Drosophila melanogaster: one gene and its partner. The protein of the gene in region 1 interacts with the protein of each later gene in a pairwise test. Each region holds a gene or a part of one and is shown on either strand. Other genes may lie near its edges.

Evidence for each region.
Region 2: the proteins of Rab32 (region 1) and CG31076 interact in a two-hybrid assay, tested with the Drosophila melanogaster proteins (one large-scale study listed by BioGRID).

The regions. Positions count from the first base shown.
Region 1 is NT_033778.4:9,173,994-9,186,451, reverse strand, and holds Rab32 (Rab32), read left to right. Parts: upstream 1-5,153; 5' UTR 5,154-5,293; coding exon 5,294-6,703; intron 6,704-7,105; exon of another isoform or gene 7,106-7,226; coding exon 7,227-7,622; intron 7,623-7,702; coding exon 7,703-7,846; intron 7,847-7,907; coding exon 7,908-8,018; 3' UTR 8,019-8,588; downstream 8,589-12,458. Other genes in the region: Rme-8 (receptor mediated endocytosis 8), read left to right, coding at 9,673-9,864, 9,919-10,059, 10,217-10,361, 10,518-10,719, 10,781-11,285, 11,343-11,521, 11,577-11,784, 11,842-12,252 and 1 more.
Region 2 is NT_033777.3:26,985,341-26,995,120, forward strand, and holds CG31076 (uncharacterized protein), read right to left. Parts: upstream 4,513-9,780; 5' UTR 4,447-4,512; coding exon 4,417-4,446; intron 4,349-4,416; coding exon 4,112-4,348; intron 4,034-4,111; coding exon 3,885-4,033; intron 3,828-3,884; coding exon 3,695-3,827; downstream 1-3,694. Other genes in the region: CG31075 (uncharacterized protein), read right to left, coding at 386-1,029, 1,093-1,664, 1,722-1,822, 1,894-1,998, 2,072-2,176; TwdlC (TweedleC), read left to right, coding at 9,594-9,729.

The DNA of each region.
Region 1 (12,458 bases):
TTCAATCTAGTCCGACTCGGAGTCCGTTTAACGGTTTTCTACGTAGAGCTTTTCGCAAAGCTCTCGCTTTCGGATTTGTTCGTGCGACAAAGTTTTCCTTTTGTTTTCGGTTCAGTTATAAACTGAAATTACTGGAGGTCGGACGTCTCGAGGCTCGGAATCACTGTTGTTGTTGTTTTGCGCCGTCTTGGCTCGTGTTGTTGTTGTCTTGCGTAGTATTGCGTGCCTGGAAATCGAACGTGTGTGAATTTAATTTACGATTCGTATAATTATCAGCAAGAGCAAACAATATAAGTTGCAAACGACCGTTTAAGCCCTATGACACTAAGATCCAAAGTAAGTGGCTACCACCGAACTGTTCCATTTGCATTTGAAACCAGTTTCCAGCGATTCGAGTGCATGAAATTGTCCAAAAAAGTGCAACGGTCGAGTTCAACAAACCGATCGATTGAGATAACACCGCAAATATATAGCTGTGAAACTCGCAAATAAATACCTACATATTCTTCTGATAAGTTCAAGAACAGTCTAGCCATTGTTTACCGTTAGACCAGAACCACATGTTGCTCGGGATCCGCGTTCCGAAGAGCGAGAGTTATACGTCTGTGCCTGGAGAGGGCCACTAGAGCGCGTGTGAACGACCTTGACTGGGCGGGGGCGTTAGATAACTGCGGAGAAGGTCTAAAGATCACACTCACCCACCCCGTATCGGTGGTTGCATGGCAACCGGCGTCATCCAGAGTAGCGTTGTCTCCACCTCCGCCGGACGCCAGAATATCTGCGACTGCCTGGAACAGGAGTCCGCCGGATTGGTCAAGGCCCTGCCCAAATCCAAGTCGGCCGATCAGCTCTCGGAACTCACCTGCGCCTGCCTGCGCTGCCAGTACCTGGCCACGGATCTTCAGCATCCGAACACCCAGTCCGGTCACCTGCCCGTGGAGCACAGACACCGACCCGTGAGCTCAGGCTCCGGTTCACTGGGCGCCCTCAGCGCCAAGGAGTCGCCCATCTTCGTGCGCCGCCAGATCTGTTTCCCGTCCGCGGAGACCCAGCTGCATCCGCCGCTCAGCTCCTCCCAGTTCTCGCTGCGAAGTGCTTCTCCGGCCTACGCCGAGCCCAAGCCGGAGTTGGATCTCGGCGCCATAGAGGCGCTGCAACTGACCACGGTCATGCCCGCGGGAGTCAACCGTAACCACATGGACATCAACAGGAACAACGGATACCTGCACAACGGAGTAAGTACCTCCACCATAACCCGCAATGGAAAGTGTTTGCCTACAGCCGGCACGTGCCAAAATGTAATGTGGGGAGGAGGGACATACTTTAAACAATTAAAAGGGCGTGAACCCATATGTTAGGGATCAGAATGCACCTACATTCATATGTACTTGGTAATTACTGGTTATTATTTTTAATTTGAAAAAGGAAATCTTAAATAGTGAAGCATTAGCAAATAGTCATAGCACACCAACTTTCATGCGATTTTAAATTGGCGTTAAATGATGACTTTTCAAAAAAAAATATATACTCTTTTTTTTGCAAGTGTGGGAAATGCCCAAAAATAAGTTGGCCAAGTGTTGCAATGGCTTTCGCTATTTCGCCTCGTCAGGCCGTTAACACAACCAGCTTGTACTCATTAGCCGTTTTAGTTGCTCAGAGAACTTTGCGGAAACCCACCAGATGGGATTACGGAGCGTGAATAATGCACGGAATGTGGAATATCGCAATGGGGAATATCACAATGCACTGATACAAATAATTACATTTTAATTTAATTTCATCTAAGGATTTTTCCACGAACATTCTAATTTCCCTATTGAAATAAATATGAATCAAATTTAAGGCAAGTTCAAAAGTCCATAAATTAACATTTATATTTTAATACTATCTATACTATAGATAAAAATCGAAGCTTTTTTTTATCAGTGTACCCATTTTATTACGTTTTTCCACCCACACTACAAAATGAATTTCCCTTTCAGAATTAGTTTGCTTCTAATCTTCAATCGACCGATTGCCATTTTCCCAATGCCAATTTTACCAATTAAATGGTAATGAAATTACAATTGCTTTTTCATTGGATACCCAGCTCAGTTACAAGCCAGACGATAAAATCAAAACAATGTGAAGCGGGGCTACGGATATGGTCATACTACACATTCCACATAGAAGGGTCGGATTCGGGGACGGAACCATGTGGGTGTGTTGAGCTACTTAAGTGATTGCCGGGTTAGCCGGCTATAGATATCCGCTACTGTTGAGAAACTATAATGCGGATTGGAAGGAGGTAGGCTACGGATTCGGTTCATCAGACATAGGCAAAGTCACGTTTGAAGGTCAATTATGGAAGCAAGCTAGGAAAGTGTGGGCTCTTTAATTACTGCCTGGCATTTCCAGCATTTCCCATTTACACATCGCACATGCATGTAGCTCGCTCGATGAATCACAAGGTCTTATTGCATTTCGGCCACTATCTAATCAGGGCCCTCTCGCCTCCTCTTCCTCCCCCTTTTATGGGCGACTCCATTGCGTGATAAGATATGAGCTGGCACTACACTCCATGCCACCCACCGATAATACGCAAAGCAGCGTGTGCAGAGTCCATTGAGGGATCGCTGTACGCCACTCGCAGAGCATCCTCCTTATGTAATCGAGCTCCAACTCCCTCGGCGCATCGCTGGCCAAGGCAATGCACTCCACTTCACTCCGCAGTGTTGTTTGTGTGTCTTTACGTTTGTGGCCGACTGATTAATTTACATGACAATTGCCCGGGCAAACTGATAAGCATATGTACATATGTACATGCATGTACATATTTACTATGGTAACTGTAAGAGTATCGCTCTGCCGCCGCAGTATCGTATCACGCAATCCAGGTTGCCAATCTTAAAATTCCAATGCCAACTATCTTTGTGCACGCAGTCTCCATGTTTATCAACCTGCGATATTTTGAGGTATTATATTTAAACGAATGCTTTGAACTTTGACAGTTAAAGTACATCGCACTGAACTAACTTTCATTAAATAAAATTCATATTATTTATACGTAAATGTCGTACTTCAACAATTACTTAAATCATGGACTTTTAGTAATCAAAATAATTTTGGTTTTAATAGCATAGTATTCCTTATCAAATTGACAAATATTTGCAATAACTAACACCGCCGTCAACTTGTTATTCTACTTTTTACACTTACATATCAGATTTTATTGCATACTTTTGGGGTTCAGTTAGAAACCTTCGGATTAAACGACTGAAAATGGGCTTAGCCATAATAGTACTTTCCCAAGCTATCTAAAAAGACAGGTGTCTTTAGATTCGCTTGATTTTACGCCTGCCGTGATACATGCAATCCCAGTAGTTTCCATTCCAGGAACTCATTCACGTGCTCACTTCCTCTTGTTGAGCTCACTTGCACGTGATTGCTGGCCGATGCGGGTGGGGGGCTCCTAGCCACTGCCATTCGGTATCCGATTTACGGAAAAGAAGTCCGTGCAGGACTTCGCCACATCGGGGCATCCGTGTGGCTTTTGTTCGGAATGGGGTCGTCAGGGGGCACTTGCAGGCGCCTGACTTTCAGATGGAGGCCGAATGCTTCGCATAGCTCTTCTGTTTTCTGTTTTCCGGCTGGATTGCGTGTAAACATCTGCGGGCACAAAGGAACTCTTCCACGTTCGACATTTATGCGAAAGTGAATTTCTAATGCTTTCGGTTTCCAAGGCACATTATGGTTTAAAAGCCCTCTGCTCCGTAACTGGAATTTTTAAGGCTTGAGAAAATGTGTTTGCTGTAATCTCCCATGAATTATGTAAGCTGATTCGACTGTTGACTTGTCCCCGATTTCAGAATGTGCAAATCGGTTAGGCTACAGACAGCGCTCTTTATGGTGAATTACATTTAGAACGCTTTACTTTACTGTGCAATCGCATTGATTAATGCCTGGTCTAAATAACCAATAGCTATTAGTTTATAGGAAAATATAAGTCATCAAAGAACAATCACTTTCAATGATGTAGTGCTCCAAAAGAAAACGGCTTTCAGAAAACAGGATGGATAAGTAGTAATCTAGCAATATTGCAAATGGGTTGTTTTAAAGGAATCTGAAATGGTTACTAACCCTAGTGATAAGCATAAAGCTAATCAAATATAGGCAAATATTGTTTTTACCAATAAATTATTCTTTAATTTAATTTATAGTCAAACTATAAGTTCAAAAGGGTGTTTGGTAATAATACTATACATTTTTAAAAGTATTGATAACTACCCCACTGCTCAATGATATCGCAACCGCAGCAAAGTGCCTGTATAAGGAACTGTAATATCTAATTAAGTCAGATCTGAAGCAACTTCCGTACATCTGTAAGATACGATCTATCCATACATACATACATACATATGTGTGCCATCCCGTTTGCGTTTCGGGTTATTACTTGGGTAATCGTATATGGGCCACATATCTCCTTCCCTGTCGCTCTGCTCGATGCACTGCGGCTAACCACGTTTTGTAATAAGCGTAATTCTATATAGTCACGTCGAGCAGTAAGTCGACAGTCGGCCAAGACAGCGGCCAATCCGCCAGATTGATGTGTCGCCCACTTAATGCCGAGCGACTCTTTTGGGACAAGTTGATGCGGCAAATCCTCAGCTTAAAGGAAGCCCGCCAAGTGCGGCGGAGCACGTTCTGGGTTGCTTGGAGAGGTCAGGTCCAGATATGGACACTGGGCGCCCTGCTCCACTGGTTGTGCCGGATGATTGGGTGCTCGTCATCGTAGCATCACGGCATCATGGCATTATGCATTACCTCGATCCAAATTATAGAGCCCAGTGATTCCGGAGCAGGGCTAACCAGCCGGACAACTGGCGTCGATTATGGCGGGCCACCGGACACTGGCCAATCTTTGTCCGGGGATTGCTTGATAAGCGGGTGCCAGCCGTCCAATCGGCCCATTCAAAGGCCCACCGGCTCTTCTCACGCTCATTTCGCAAGCGATTTGGAGGCGGCAACCAGTGTTGGTAAGCACCTGGCCAGCTATAGCGATTTTCGTAACTGTAATGCTAAACCTCTCACCACAAAAGGGGATGGTGCGGGGGCGGGACCAACGGGGCGAATACAAAATTTATAAAAGCCTAGTCGTCGGCACTGGGGATTTTAGTGCGCGTTCGTTTAGTCTGGGCAACGGTTGCTTAAAAAAAAAAAGCTCGAGGATCGTGCAGGATCAGGACTGGAAATCAAGCTGGAGCAAATGGAATCTGTGTAGAATCGCTAGGGATCAACAGCGTCAGTTGAAAATATGCCCAACGTGGACGAGCAGCGGGGAAAAGCAGCTACAAAGAGAGCGGAATCGGAGCAATCGGAGGAAAAGGGTGACCGCCAGGAGGGGGACGGGGATCCGAAAGACGAGTCTGAGGAGGCCACCGCGAAGATCAAGGGCCGTTCCCGATTCACTGCGGCTCTGCGAAGCCTCTCGAAGACCAAAACCAAAAGGGAAAGGGAGCTGGATAAAAGCACCGACAGGGAAACACGCAGCGCGGAGGAAGAGGCTCAGGAAACCCCAGGCGAGCTCGAAGACGTGGCCAGCTCCATCTCCACGGACAGTGGAGCCCTCGGCAAGACCAAGAAAAAGAGCCTGACGCGCCGCCTGCTTCTTGGAGGCCTGAGAAAAAGTGGGAAAACGCCGAAGGGGCGGCCCCACAGCTTGGCGACCAGCGACGACATCAGCGTGGAGCACCTGGAAACAACACCCCTGCCATCGCCACCCGGTTCGCCCACCTCCGCCGGCAGCAGCACGCTGCAGATCACCATCAGTGGCAAGAAGGTGGAGCCATCGCCCGCCAAGAAGAGCGGCAAGAGCAGACCCAAGAGCGACACGGATTATCTGACACCCGCCGCAGAAGAAAGGAAACCGAGAAAGAAAACCACTACCACCACCGTGACCACGAGAGATACGAGCAGCAGCACCCGCACCACCAAGCTGCTGGTGTCGAAGAAGAAGCCCCAGAGCCCCGAGAGAGAGTCCCCATCGGCGTCGCCGTCGCCGCTTATCACCACCACCGAGAGCACGCGCGATACGCCGCCCAGAGAACGGGCGCCAGCAAAACCAAGTCGCGTTCAGTCAGCCAGCGGCACCGGAGCTGTTCGCAAGTCCCAATCCTCGAGCGCATCCAGCAGGAAGCTGGAATTGATGCAGCAGCAGCAGCAGCGCGGCCACCGCCTCAACGCCAGACCACTGGCTGAACTAGCGAACACGGAACCCCAGCCATCAGGGCAGCAATCCCTGGACCCATCCACATCCCCTCCGGCGGCTGAGGACGGAGTCTCCTCGGCGGAAAGCGCCCAGACTATTGCTAATCCCCCGCCCGTTGTCCGCTTTGAAGTGGGCAGTGCAGTCAGGAGTCCCTTGAGTGCCTACGAAGCCGCATTGGCCGCCGCCGCCAGTCAACAGCCCAACTCCAACGAAGAGCTCAGCGACTCCAGCATCCGGCGTCTCAGCTTCGCTCAGCAGCAGCTCATCCTCGGCGACCACGACAGCATCGAGGGCAGGCGGGAAACACTGCACTATCAGTCGGTGGCTAGTGAATACTCCAACCAGGACTCCGGATCCGAGGACGATAGCGAGGAGCAGGCGGATACCACAGAGCCAGAGAACGCCAAGCCCATGCCGGCCTTCGGTGACCTGACCATGGATCAGGAAATGGAACCGGTAAGGTCTCGTCGTCGTCGGATTGCCAATTCGCCAGTTGTCATTTACCTACGAAGAAGCGAAGAAGCCCCACAAGTGATATGTTGGCCCCCTTATAGTGTGTGTTCCAGAGTGTCATTCAACTGTGCGGGCGGCGGGCGGTGGTAATAGCCCAGGGGGTCTCGTCAACTAACCAGCAAATCTCAGTGCGGATTGACGAGCAGCAGAAGGTGTAACTAATACCAGGCTTAGAATTTATTAAAGTGGTGAATTCTCACTTCCTATATTATATATTGATATGCTTTTATATAACTGAGTGTAAACGTGCTATGATAGAACAAACTTTACTACTTATTATAATTCGAAATGCACGGATTATTTATATTTGTATCTTGAAACCCAGAGCCCAAAAGTATGTATCTCTTTATCTTGAGATTTCAAGTCACAAGTGGGATTTCATTGTTTAGTGTATCAAATTTATCAAACTATTCTATTAAGCATGGATCGAACATACAAGTAACTCTCATCCAATCCTTGCTTGCAGGCCATCATGACATCCACCAGCGATAAGCGCGAGCATCTGTACAAGATTCTAGTCATTGGTGAACTGGGCACCGGCAAGACGTCCTTCATTAAGCGCTATGTGCACCAGTTCTTCAGCCAGAACTACAGGGCCACCATCGGCGTGGACTTCGCCCTGAAAGTGCTGCAGTGGGACGCCAATACGATAGTGCGCCTCCAGCTGTGGGATATCGCCGGTCAGGAGAGGTTTGGCAACATGACCCGTGTCTACTACAAGGAGGCGGTGGGCGCGTTCATCGTTTTTGATGTGACTCGCAGTGGGACTTTCGATTGCGTGAGCAAGTGGAAGGAAGATCTAGACTCCAAGGTGCAGCTGCCGGACGGCAGTCCCATTCCGTGCATCCTGCTGGCCAATAAAGTAAGTGATTGCCTAAAGGTTAAAGGAGACCGCATAATTTCTATATTATGTGATTAATACGTTGCTCATCCGTTTTCCAGTGCGACCAGGAAAAGCAGGGCATCATAACGCAGCCCGAGAAGATGGATGAGTATGTGAGGGAGAACGGATTTGCCGGTTGGTTTGAGACATCCGCCAAGGAGAATATCAACATCGATGAGGCAGCTCGTGCCCTCGTGAATAAGGTGATAATCGCTGCTAATGCCCAGCCAAAGCCCCGCTAATCTTCTTCCACTCGCCCGACAGATACTCATCAACGATAAGCTGATATCTGCCGATCTGGCCGATGGCGACAAGTTCAACTTGAGCGCGGCCGATGCAACCGGATCGGATGCCAAGAACAAGTGTTCCTGCTGACCTGGGACCGAGGTCCGGCGACTCCTATTCCCATTCCCAGTTTAAGAGCGAGTTTCAACACAGAAACGCCATGTGCCTACGTCCACTCCATGTTCATGTTGTTAGAAGATAGCGATAACTATGCTTAGGGTTTTAACGTAACATTTGTCTAAGACTTAGTGTCATCCGTATCATCCCGTCCGTCTTTATCTTTAACACCCCGTCTGTGGGTCCACAATGTTGCGCCGGCATCGGGATCCGTGTCACTTTGAGAATTTATATGGTGACACATAACATACCTACGCATACGAAACATTATTACTATCACCATCATTGCCCTAGTTGCGAGGATTAGCCGGAGGTAGTGCAGCATCCGTATCATAGCATACTACATTTGTGTAAAATGCGAATCGTCTTATTGTTTTGTTTGTTTTATTTGCCTCTGCTGGCGAGATTGTTTTATCTTGGAATTATTATTCTCGTATGCAAACACACTCTGCCATCATTATTTGTATTTAGATAACAATACGTACGCTTAATGCAATGCGAAATCAGAAATAAAGTTTTTAATGGTAGTTAAGTTCAGACGACGTGTTTTATTGGCTGAATAAATTCTGTGTAAGTGCTTTTGTGATACAATGAAAATGTTATGCTACTAGTATTTGCCTTCATTGAATCACTGGTCTTTGTAAATAAATACGAATAAAAGCTTTGTTTTTACATTTCCTTTTTTAACGGTAAAAAATCGTATCCCCAACCGGCAATGTTTTTCTTTTTTTTTAATATTCAAACTATCGATAGTTATCAACTATGGTATTCCTTATTGTTTAGTGATCACATATTAAACTTAAAAATAATGATATACAGATAAAAGTGTCGTGCGTTCATATTCTACATAAAATTATTAGCAATTATTTAATCGTTATGAAAAGCGAAACGTATAAACTGGTAATTGGTATGGGAAAAATTGGGAAAAAGCTGGAATCAGGTTTAATTGCAATTTGGTTTTATAAAATGTTTTATGGCACAAACAAACATCCTGACTCAAAAGTGAATTAAGCTTGAAACTTAAATACTCCGAGAATACCGTGAATATGCGTTTACCAATTGCTGCTGAACGGGACCACTATCGATAGAACCTTACAAACTATCGAATCGCTGCAAGACTATTGCCATCGATACTTGCACCTCTATTTATTAGTGTTGTGTAGCCGTGTTACTGCTAAATTGTTTATTGCAAAAATTCCGCAAACGAGAGATATTAGGAATAGAAGACAATATAACAATTGGGCAAAATGTGTTAGATGTTTAAGGTAAGCCACCGCCAGGGCTGCAGCTCGGCGGAGCCGTATCCAACGGTCCGCGCTCTGGGGGCCGCAGCATTCCGCACTCGTCACGTTTACTCCCCTTTTCTGGTCTTTGTTGGGGCTCCGTTGGCACTTCTGCTGATAAGTGCCCAAGTCGACTTAATTAATCAGTGCCCTGGAGTCGGGGGCAAGTCAATTGGATATTTGGAAACCGCTGGGAACGTGAACCAGCTGCGCGCCCGAAAGACCAGTCATGAATTGCCGCGGCTCTGATTTGACTCCCGTTCCCACACTCCATATCTCACTCACTTTCAGTTGCTGACTAATACTGGGTGGAAGGTAATCAGTTGGAATCGTCACAAGAAACGATGCTGCCGCCTAAGGAAAACGTCGATCTGGAGTGCTTCCTGGTGACCAAGCACTCCTGGAAGGGCAGGTATAAGCGCATCCTCTCCATCGGCACGGCCGGCATATCCACCTACAATCCGGACAAGCTTGACCTGACTAACAGGTGGTCCTATTCGGACATCGTAGCAGCAGCACCCTCAAAGACCACAAATGTGAGTTTATAAGATCCTACGGAGAGCTCGGAACTAAATAAATTGATCTTTCAGATACCCCATGACTTCGTGATTACCATCAAAAAGGATAAGAAACTAGATACAATCAAGTTATCGTCGGAATATCGGAACGATATCCTAAGCTCTATATTAAAGTACTACAAAGAGTTTGCGGACAAGCCGAAAAATGCTCAGGTTGGTTTTTGAGTCTCGCTTTAAATCCTATACTAATTTGGAAACACTTCTCCAACATTTCATGTGTGATTCAGATGTTTCTAATTAACATTTAAATATGCAATATGAATTCTAATCTGTCAAAATTTTAATTTTGAATACTATCTAAATTTTGTAGCGCTTTAGTGCTTACAAATACCACTGGTCGGGCATCAGTCTTCCCACAGTACTGGAGGTCACGCCCTGTTCTCTGGACCAGCTCGATCCCACCACCAACGACGTGCTGGCCAGCTATATGTACAAGGATATCGAGGGAATAATAGGTAGCTATGCACATTCGACTCGCTTGCATCAATTAATGTGTCTTGTTTTGTCCTCATGTGCCTCAATTACAATTCAATATGATCGCTCCGTGTTTTGTTCTTTTTTTTATTTTTGGTTACTTGCCGCACTCATCTTTCTTCCGCACACGTTTTAAGCAGGCATCTCGGACTATGAGGGAGGAATCGTGATGGCCTACGGCGGATTCAGTCGCCTCCATTTGTTTAAGGCGCTGAATCACCACGAAATCGTGCAGAACATAGCACAGAGATCGGCTCAGTTTCTGGGCATCGAAACCAAAATACTCAAGAGTCAGATCACTCTGGAGCAGTTCGAGAGGCAGCGGTTCGGCAAGTTTAGGTAAGTTCATGTGAAACGCAATAAAGAATTTGTAGAAAAAAAAAGCCATATAATATTTCAGTGGTGACCAGTTTCAAACCTCGTCGACCGAATTCTCGGTTCATAAGATAACGCCCCGCCATCCGGATCCGGTGAAGCGTATACTCTGCCTCACCGAGGTAACGCTGCTGGAGCGGGATCCTCAAACCTACAGCGTCTGCACCCTGCGTCCGCTCACTGATGTGTTTGCCTTAGTTAGAGACAAGGACAATCTTCAGCGCTTCAGCATCGAGTACAAGAATGGAATCGTGCGCAACTACAGCACCAACGACCGCGACTCATTGTTGGCCACTGTTCTGGATGCTGTCCGCTCCAGTGGCAATCAGGATGTGCACGTCCGCATTGGCAACACGCCGCGAGGGAAACGGTATGTGCCATTGAACAGCTCGGTGGACGAGGAGACGGAGGCGAATTTGATGCGCCTGGTTATCAACAATTTTCAAAACCCCTCTAAGCGGTATGAGATCTTGGAGCGCTTTAATGCCAATGTGCCTCACAGTGGCCTCAACTACAGTGTAACTCAGGATGTAGGTTAACCTAATGCTCGGATTCCGGTTCAACCTAACTAATGTTTCGTTTCACAGAGCTTGTTTGCTGAAAACAAAGATAAACTTATCCTGAGTGCCCTGCAAGCGTTGGCTCAAAAGGAGCTGGACAGCCCTACGGCCCAGCTGAGCAACTTGGAGCTGGAGGCTATCTTTCACGCTCTTACTCGTCTTCTCGCTAGCAAAGTTGGATACGCAGCCTTTACGAATCTCCCGGGGTAATATATTCTAGTTTCGTACTAATAGCATTGTTAATGTTTGAATACATTTCAGCTTTCGTGAGATTATCGGTACAAAGGTGGTGGCTGCTTTAAGACGCAAGGATTTGGCTGTGACATACTCCGCCATTGACATGATTAACTCGCTAATGCATTCTGTGAATTCTGACCATGATTTAAAACAGGAGCAACTTAACAAGTCATCCATTCTGTCATCAAAATCGTTTCTGGAAACTTTGCTCAACATGTGGACAACCCATGTGGTAATGTAACCATTCTAGAGTGCGGTCAATTCGTTTTGTAACTATTTATGATTTCAGAGCCATGGCAGTGGTGCTCTGGTACTCTCAGCCATGCTGGACTTCATGACCTTTGCCTTGTGTGTGCCTTACAGCGAGACCACTGACGGCAAGCAGTTCGATACTCTGCTGGAGCTGGTTGCCGATCGTGGACGCTATTTGTACAAACTGTTCCAGCATCCCTCGCTGGCGATCGTGAAGGGAGCTGGATTGGTGCTGCGGGCCATTATTGAAGAAGGCGAGCTGCAAGTGGCTCAGCAAATGCAAGCATTGGCTTTGGATGAGGCTGCGCTGTGCCGCCACTTACTGGTGGCACTGTATACGCCCTCCAATGATCCCACACAGACCACGCAACGTCAGTTGTCGCGGCATTTGATCGGGCTGTGGCTAACAGATAGTGAGGAGGCCATGGAACTCTTTAAACGCATATTCGTGAGTTATTCGAAATGTCCAATTCAATCAAGTTTGTCATATTATTTAAAATTACCAGCCCGCTGGCCTGTTAACCTTTTTGGAATCTGAGGAGACTGTTCCAGAGTCGGATGTCGAGGAGGACAAGCTAAACTTTCGTGACAATCTCAAATTTGCAATACAACATTCCAACAAAACTCGCAAGAATGTGATAGAGAAGCATTTAC
Region 2 (9,780 bases), on another chromosome or scaffold:
ATATTTTATCAACTAACACAATTTAGGTTAAGTTTTAGGGGACCCTCTAGTCGAGAGTCTTCGATCAATCGATATTTCATTGATAGTTTTCACTATCCTAGCTTAGTGAACTCGTGCCTCGATATCAAATATCTAAAATGTGGTTTAATCAAGGCTATAGAAAATACTACAATACCATTATTGTTGCATACTCTTGGGCTTATAAGTTCAATCTGAGCTTGAAATATGCCTGGTTAGGCCACATTGTCCAGTCGATTCCTTTGACTATAACCTCTGGTAACTTAAATCCATGAGTTTTATTTAAAATGCAACATAAAACCGAAAACAAGTGCGAATAAAATACAAATATTGTGTATACGAGACAGGAAACACTTCAAGTTCCAGCTTAAAGAAGTTTCATGGTGATGGTCTTGGTTTCCAGATAGTTATCCAGGCCATCCTTGCCCAATTCCCTGCCAATGCCAGAGTGCTTGTATCCACCGAACGGGGTGGAGGGCAGCACGGCATCATAGCAGTTGATCCACACGGAGCCGGCATCCACATTGTTGGCGAATTTCAGTGCCTTGTTGATGTCATTGGTAATAACGCCGGCGGCCAGGCCATATTGCACATTGTTGGCCCGATCGATCATCTCCTCCAGGGAGCTGAACTTGAAGATCGACTGAACGGGGCCAAAGATCTCCTCCTGGGCAATCCGCATATCATCCTTCACGTCCGAGAAGACAGTGGGCTCAACGAAGAAACCGACATTGCCGATCCTCTTGCCACCAGCCTGCAACTTGGCACCCTCCTTCTTGCCACTCTCGATGTAGCCCAACACCTTGGTCAGCATGTCATCGTCGATCTGGGGACCCTGCTGCACATTCTGCTCGAAAGGATTGCCCACCTTGCGGGCCTTTGCCTTGGCAGCTGCCTTGGCCACGAACTCGTCGTAGATCTTTTCGTGAACGTAGGTGCGACTGCCGGCACAGCAGCTCTGGCCGTGATTGGAGAACAGAGCCTCGTGGGTGGTTTCCACGGCGAAGTCAACTAATGGGGGAAAGCAGGAATTAGTAGGTTTATGCTTAAGTTTTAAAGAGATAAGTAACTCACTGTCCGCATCATCGAAGACCACAACGGGGCTCTTGCCGCCCAATTCCAGGGAGACCCTCTTCAAGTTCGACGTGGCTGCAGCCTGCATGACAATCCGACCGATTTCCACGGAGCCGGTGAAAGCCACCTTGGCAATATCAGGATGAGCACTGATAGCAGCACCGGCAGTGGGACCAAATCCGTTGACCACATTGATCACACCGGCTGGGAAGCCTGCCTCCTTCGCCAAAGCAGCCATGTGAAGGGCAGTCAGAGGAGTTTGCTCCGCGGGTTTCATGATGATGGTGCATCCGACGGCCAGAGCGGGGCCCCACTTCCAGGCCAGCATCAGCAGGGGATAGTTCCAGGGTATGATCTGGCCCACCACGCCCACCGGTTCCTTGCGGGTCATGGAGACAAAGCCTCCAGCGGGAATGGTGTCGCCGAAGAACTTGTCGGTCCAGCCGGCGTAGTACTGCAGCGTCAGGATCGAGTAGGTCACATCGAAGAGGGCCTCAGCGTAGGGCTTTCCATTGTCCTGGGTCTCCAAGCTGGCCAGGAATGCCTTGTCCCGATCCATCAGGGCACAAAGTCTGCAGGGGATTATATTGTTATACTTTATTTACGTGTGATTTATGGGTAAAACTAACTTGTTCATCAAATTGGTGCGCTGCAGAGGACTCAATTTGCGCCATTCCGAGTCGCGATGGAAGGCTTTCTTGGCCGCTTTCACAGCCAGGTCGATATCAGCCTAATAAAATATTAAGAATAATCAACAGGTACATTTCACCATCGTATCTCTTTCGAGAATGCTGGACTCACCTTATCTCCCTCGGAGACTTGGACAATCTCCTTGGATGTAGCCGGATTGAAGGTGGCAAAGGTCTTGCCCGACACCGAATCAACGAACTCATTGTTGATGAAAAGCTATAAATAAATAAATCAAGTGAGTTTTGATTTAGTGGAAAGTAAATGGAACCAATGGAATCTTTTCCGCCACCTGACAGTAATTGGGTTCGCACTGGGCATAAGTATGATCAAATTTCGACCACTTTCGTGAAACAGCCAATTGGTGTGCCAGTAGTTTTTGCAATTTGTTCATCATTGTTAGCCCAGTTTGTCAGCGATTACTTATCCGCTCAAACAAGTTATCAACCCCCCCGATTGGCCCATTTCAATTTGCCGGGGACACGCGATAATGTAAACACTGTAAAGTGTAATTCTAGTCACGATTCCAAATTGTCGAGCATGTAAAAAATACAAAACTGTTGACAATAAACCAAAGCAGTTTGAGGCTGTTATCTAGTGTTGATTTAAATTATAATGGGTCGTTGGGCGATATGAAATCGTACGACCAGCGTTCTTAAACTTTCAAGATAAAGTAGTCCGCTTATTGTAATCAATTGGAAACAATAATGAATATAGAGAAGTGGGCGTTAAAAATAAGGGCATTATAAGGAGTTTTTACTTTACAGAGAAAGAATCTTTATTAAATATTCGACTAATTGATTAGTTTTCTTTTATATATAATATTTTTTCATAATTTCGCCATTGTAAATGAGCGTTCAAAGTCTTATTCGTATCAGAAAAAAGTTCATGTTGGTCCCCAACGAATGTTTTCTTATCAGCATAGCAAACATCTTAATTATTATTGCTCTATTTCTTTTTTTTTTTTTTTTTCGAATCTGTTTATTTTTTTCATCCCACATCTGTTGATAACAATTTAAGCCCTCTATCTCCGAACAAACTAATTGCTGTTTTTTTTTTAAAATAATCGTACATATGCGTAAGGAGGCCAAAATTGCAAGTATTTGTACATATGTACTTAAATTGCGACACAAACGAGTTTGATGTGTTTCACTAGGCAGCTTACTTTAAATCATTTAACTTGTAATGCAGAAAGTGGAAGTTCAATGCACCTAGCTTAAGTGCAGCGCAGTAAGAGGGATTTGCATTATTTAATAGACAGCTGCCCACACACAATATTTATACTCACTTTTGTGTACTTGGGCTTGGCGTTGGGATCGGCCATATTGAGCGATATATACACCTTCAAGAACTGGAATAGAAACCGGCTGTCTGGGAGACGTCGCGAAACTGAAACTGAAATGCTGCCAGATGCCGATTTATATAGAGCCCCGATAACTGGCTATCAGCGATTTGTTTTGCACTGCCGTTCATCAGATTCTCACTTTGCTTGTGGTCCTCCTCTGAATTATCATTTGCCGGCCGGCATATACAAGTGCCCTACAATGTGTACGGATTGTCCATCGATTCTTTAAGTTATATGGCTTAAATATGGTTATATCAGAATTTTTAGTTAAATATATTGTTTTTAATACTACATTTATTTTTACTATACTTGGTGATATTGATTTATCACAAAAAATTATTAATGACACTTGTTTGTAATTTGACCACTGTAAGCTTTTGGGAGCGGTTGATGTCTTGGCTAGATATCCAAGACACTGTCTTATACGGATTGTGTCTAGGATGTGGTCTTATACTTTAGCTTGTATAAAATGCCCAAACTTCAATTAATAGATCAATGGGTAATATAGGGAGTTTTAAAATTTACTTCATTAAATATAAATAGGTTAAATAGTCTTATTTGCTTATAATTTCAGACACTTGTCGTCTGGATAAGCTGTTTGCCATTGTAATTTTTTATGGGGAAACTTTCGTATTTGTAGGTGCGTTGAACCAGTCCATGATCCAGAAATTTCAGTTTACTCAGCGACTGTGCAATGTAGTTGCTGAAACAGATCGGCAGCTATGTATAGATAGATCAATATTGTAACAGACACACCCACCTATAGTACTCGTAGTCGTAGCGCAGGTATGTGGAGAACGGCTGCAGTTCCAAGCCATCCGGGCAGATCGGATTGCCATGGAGGCTCAAATACTGCAGATTGGGAAAGAACTTTCTGATCAGTCGCATTGTCGTCGGCAGGTCACTGAACTGGAATCGATAAGAAATTGCAATTTTCGACGTTTATTTCTAATATACAGCAATTGAACTGTGATTCTGTGGCTTCACCTCATTTTTGTTGAGCATCAGTACTTCCAATTGTGGCAGCGGGCAAGTCAGTGTCCTCAAATGAGCCTCATGCATGCGATTGCTGTCCAGCACCAAATGACGCAGCTGCTCGAAGTCCGCCAACCAAGACAGATCCTTTAGACAATTGTGACTTAGATCCAGTTGCTCTACATGATCAGCATGCTTCTTAACTAATTCCTGGGGCAGTGTTCGTAAATTCTGTTGCACCAAAATGAGCTAAACCGGTAGACAAAATAAAAGAGATACGACTTTTAATCTTGGCTAGATAAGCTTGATTTTCCTACCTGACTGTCGTTATTTTCAGGCCTTTCCATTGCTCTGAGATAAATCGTATCTGTGGTTAGCGAGATACCTCACCGGCGATCTCCTCGTGAGCAACTGAAATGAGTGCTCGATTGTGCTGCATTCCGTAGCCGAATGCTTTTGTTTTTGGACTGTCTCTTTATTTTTTCATTTTAATTTTTTAAATACCCTACATACATGATTTTTCTGGGCATATGCTTTTATATAAGATTTTTGTTGATAATCATATGAAAATGAATCTATAAATTATGATTAATAAAGATAATCAACTATTGATCAGCTATCAGCTATTTGGTATTAGGCTATCTAAAATGATAAGGCACTTGGAATCAAAAAGTTAAAATATTTCGGAGCCTATGAGGTATTGAAAAGTTGAAACCCTCGACTCCAGTAACCTACTCCATATGCTCTTTGTTTGCGTATAACTTTGTTTGGCTTCTGTGAAGCTTTTTTCCACGACTGACGATTTCTTTCATCGCCTGAACTTGTTCAAGGCGAGAGAGGAAGAAAAACGCTAGTGATAAGTTATCAAGAGTTAACTGACATGTAGATGGCGCCAGCGGGCGACTATGATTGCACATAGAGTATACGACAAGTGGACTTAAATAGGAGACCACATTTAGTAACGGCCATTTAGGGGCTAGTCCTTCGAATGGCTTTAAGCCACTTCAAATCGGAACTGGTCAAGTGCAAGTGGCGCGATAAGTGCTCCACAATGGCAAAGAGCTGGTAAATACATTTTTAATTGCCAGCTGACCGGCAAACAGAGATGACGGCCCACTAAAGAGCCGAAATGAAAAGGCAAATGGAAAGACCAACGCGGACGGACAAAATCTTGTTTGTTAGTGGCCACACTGTGATTGACTGCAAATGGCTAACAAATTGGACTGGAGGCTGGGCCTAGTGCCCAACAAAAGGGGATGACAGCGTAAGTAAACAAAGCGCGGGATACAAATTGCGGCTCACAGCATTTAGCCGGGCACTCAATTCAATGAAACCCAACCATACGCACCGGCAGATGGGTAGATACTCATATACTTTTGCATATCTTTGAGATACGTGACGAGCAACCGGCCTGGCTGACAGCTGTTGCAGATCTCGCGAAAGAAAACCCTTTACCCTTTATGTTTTGACCGCTGTCAGTGACAAAGTATTTGTCCGCTAACCATGTTATTATTTCCCCTGCTTACACTCTACTTTTGACCGTAATAGCCCAGTGTGTGTAACTCTATATATAGGCCTTTGATTGCCTTGCGTCTCAATGGGCATTATAATTCAATGTCAATATTTGGGCACAAGTTAAATGCAGTTGTCCGTGGCATGTGGTCTTCAATTCGGTAAGGCGTTACCCCTGAAAAGCGAAAATCCACTTGAATAAATAAAAACTCGTATCTAAAACTTTCTTTTCCAAGAATTCCTTGAGCCATTAAAACTCGTAGTAAAACCTTTAATGGCATTGTATTTTTACCAACCTCTTTGATGACTAATTATCAGCACTTCATTCTTTACATATATAAAAACTAAGGAAATATTTAACTTATCCTGAAATTCAATTTATTTTCTTCATTAAATTGTTGGAGCAGTCTAGTATAAGCCCCATTAACATTGCCATAGGAACCTGGTCACGAAATCCAGGTAACCACCCTCGTAAATAAAAAGTACTCGACTTGCTCCAGTTTTAATTACTTCCCACAGGCTGTAAGTGAGTTACATAAAACCGGAGGCGATGATGATGGGTTGGGATAAGGGCCTCGATAATTGTGCTAAAATCGGGTGACCTTGACGAGGCGGGAATGGCAAGCGGTGCAAAAATGCTCTGGTTGTCTGTGGTCTTTAATTAACGAGATAATCGACGACGCCGATCGCAGTAATCATCATCATTATGCTCCTCCGGGCTAGCTATTAAGTCACTTAACCGAACGATTTGTCAACGTATTCAAATGAAGGGGGGAATGCCAGGGAATAGACCATATTCATCTGCCATTTGTCATAATTTACGGAGTGTGGGCTGAAGCCCCAGTTAAATATATAACATCTACTTGTGATCTGCTTTTTTTTATAAACTTTTTTTAAGCATGATTTGCATGTTTGGTTTGCAGTTGCCTTCTTATTTTCGGTGTTTGTGGTAAAAGTGAAAAATATACACTTGCTATAGAGTGTAATAAAATTATTTAATATGGTAGTCGAAGCATTTCTCGGAAATCAGTAAATCACTTTATGTGGAAGTCAAATTTTTTTCAGGTTAATTTGAGGTTTGGGATTGTAAGTGAGTGGTATTTTTATATGAACTGACTTTGGTTTAAATTGATTTAAATGGTTAACGGTTAAGTAGAAAGTCCAATAATATGGCATTCTGTACCACTGAGATGGGTATCTATATCCACCACAAGGTTTGCAGCTGCTTCTACTCCGTTTTTAAGTCAAGTGACCTACGCATTCTTCGCTGGCGATGGAATGCGCCTCTTCACTGCCATTGGCCAACTAATCGACTTGTGGGTTCACATCTCAATGACAAAGCCCCAAAGTATCTGCCCCATTCGTGTTGGCCGCTGTGCTTCTTCTATGGCTTTTGCTGTTCGTGGCACTTGAATGCAACAAGTGGCAAGTCAAGTGGCGCATCCCCGGTCGCTTCGTCTATTTTAAGCTGCTGCGATGGAAATTCCCCCCAAGAGGGACGCAGCTCCCCGGCAATGTCAATTTGAAGCGATCGAAGGGCATCGAAAAACAAGACTAAGCCAATGCCACGAGGAGAAGGGCAGGAGATCGAGTATTCGACACAAATCAATAACTCATCGATGGACGTGCTACTGCACTGTTGACCTGATTTTCACCAAATTTCGAACCCTTGATGACACAATCTGCGGCAGCTCCTTTGGTCTTTCTCTTGACCAGGGATGGAATAAAAACTGTTCTTGTAGTCAATATAATTTACCTTAAATAAATTTGTCAAATTTTTTTATCTCATCACTAAAGATCAGATTTTCACCAAGTTTTTCTTTTTGTACTTATACATTTGATGGGCTTAAGCTTGTAACTCGGCCAAAATGGCAGCCACAGCTAAGAAAAACACCTTTTTAGAGAGCTAAAGACCTCAGCAAACCAACGCAATCACTTTTGATTTGATTCCAGAAATTAAATTTTTTGTCAAAATTTTCCATTTTTTATAAGGGGTAACATCGTAATTTTTCGCAAAAATTGACAAAAAATTTTTTTTTCATTCTTGAATGCCAAACGATTAAGCATGTTTTTACGAGTCCAGCAAGGTATGACAATCTATATTTTGACCTCGTTTACGGATAATTTTGCACATTTTTACTGATATTTTTGAACAATTTTATCAATTTCTATGCCATGTTTCAATGTACTATTTACTTATGTATATGTTTAAATTAAGTTGCATCCCTGATTTTATTTTTTGAGTCCGGACCCTTCTTCCCGTTGACAGCGCTTGACTCGTTAGGCTTCTTCTTCGGTGGCCAAGTGCACCAATTTCCAATCGATCGAACGGTGACGTAAAGCTCCAAAACCCTGTTGCCATTACGTACGCCCCCCAACTTCTTGTGCCGCCTTATAGCCATGTCGATGTAGTTATAGCCATAAGCTACATGTGTCCGCACAGCCACTCGACATTTCTCCACCTCGCTGCGTCGAGATGCGTCGGCTGCAATTACAATTAATGATTTCTGTGTGTGGACAGCAAGTGGACAAGCGTCTCGATTCAGCTGGTTACTGGTTGGTTACTGGGTATTGGATAGTGGGTACTGGCGGTCTATTTACTTTCGAACCAATGGCTGTGTGCAGCAAATCCAATTAAATGCCGCTCGCTATTCACTTTATTTGGGTAGCTGCTGTTTTGTTTTATTACTTATTGTTTTCGTTTTCGACGCTTAATGTTTGGCTTCAATTTGAAAATTGATTTTGATTTTGATTTTGTTACGATTGTTTCGTAATTGTTATCGTAGGTGTTGAAAGTGTCCGCCGTCAACGGTTGACAGTTCGGGGGAAATTTGGAACTGGCCTTGAAAAGCCCTTCGTTATTGTGTTATTTTTGGTCTGATGACTGCGTGTATTTATAGGTTTATAAACGAATTTGTTAGGGTTTAAGAATGGGTTAAAATGCATTGTATTGTATGCAATGACTGGGATCTTTTAAAGTAACTATTGTTAGTTCCATATGCAATGAGACAACATTGAAGCTTAATGATACTTAAGAATGAGTAGAAATAATTATAAAGAAAAATACTAAAGCTGAAAGCATAATAAACCTGCAACTTTGTTTTACAAATTTACTAAGTTACACATTTAATGTATACTTGGCTTAATGTCCTAGCACAACACGTTGTTTTCGTATTTCCCGTTCACTATTTAGATTCCTTGCTAATCATGCGAAAAAATGGATTATCCCTTGACTGGATTGCCGGGGAATCACATGACCCGGCTGTCGAGGAAGTACAAACTGGACAAACAAGTTCCTCGAGGCGTCACATGAATGAAGTTCATCAATGGGACTCGGTCGAGTGTGTAATCGTGGGTCACTTTCGATTTCGAGCCAGCAATTTAAGTGCGCTCCAATTGTGAAAATAACACTTGGCGCACTTGGCCGAAGGTTGCGGCTGCTGCATCTTTCAGATGCGAGATATGAGATACGAGCTACGAGCTACGAGCTACAAGATACCAGATACGAGATACTCAGCGGAGAGTGTTACACATAACGATTTGGGCAAACATTTTTTCGCGTTGGCCCAGGGCATTGATTGTGGACTATGGGGTTGCCCCCTCCTGGGAGATTCGTTTTGCAGACGGGTTTGCTCCAATTTCTCGCTTGTGAACCCAAAAGACACGTGTCGCAGACTTCTCTCTGCATCCGTATCCGTATCTTTGCTCTGCGCCGCCTTCTACTCGCTTTTGGCCAAGTTCATCCGAAGCTCTTCGCGTCTCTTTTGATGCTTAATTAAATTCATTTTTTCGTTTATTTCGTTTACCTTTTGTAATGAGACTTTGAGCACTCGGAGCTGCGGACATCGAATCATATAAATTCGGACCGCGGCGGCCAAGTCAGCATCAGTCGAGCATCGAGCTTCTCCATCGAAGCATTTCATCGAGCCAAAGGATTACGGGCTTACTAAGCAGCAAAGGATTTCCGATTACCAGAAGCAAAATGCGTGTCTCCTCGCTGTTCGTTGTGTGCGTGGCCTCCCTGGTGGCCACCACTTTGGGTCGTCCTGAGCCCCCATCCCCGTACTCCTACCACGGATTGCCTCAGCAGCAGAGCCAGCGGGCTTTGCCACTCAATGGTAAGTGGGCGGAGGATGAAATAGAAACATTATAGGAAATTAAAGCGAAAA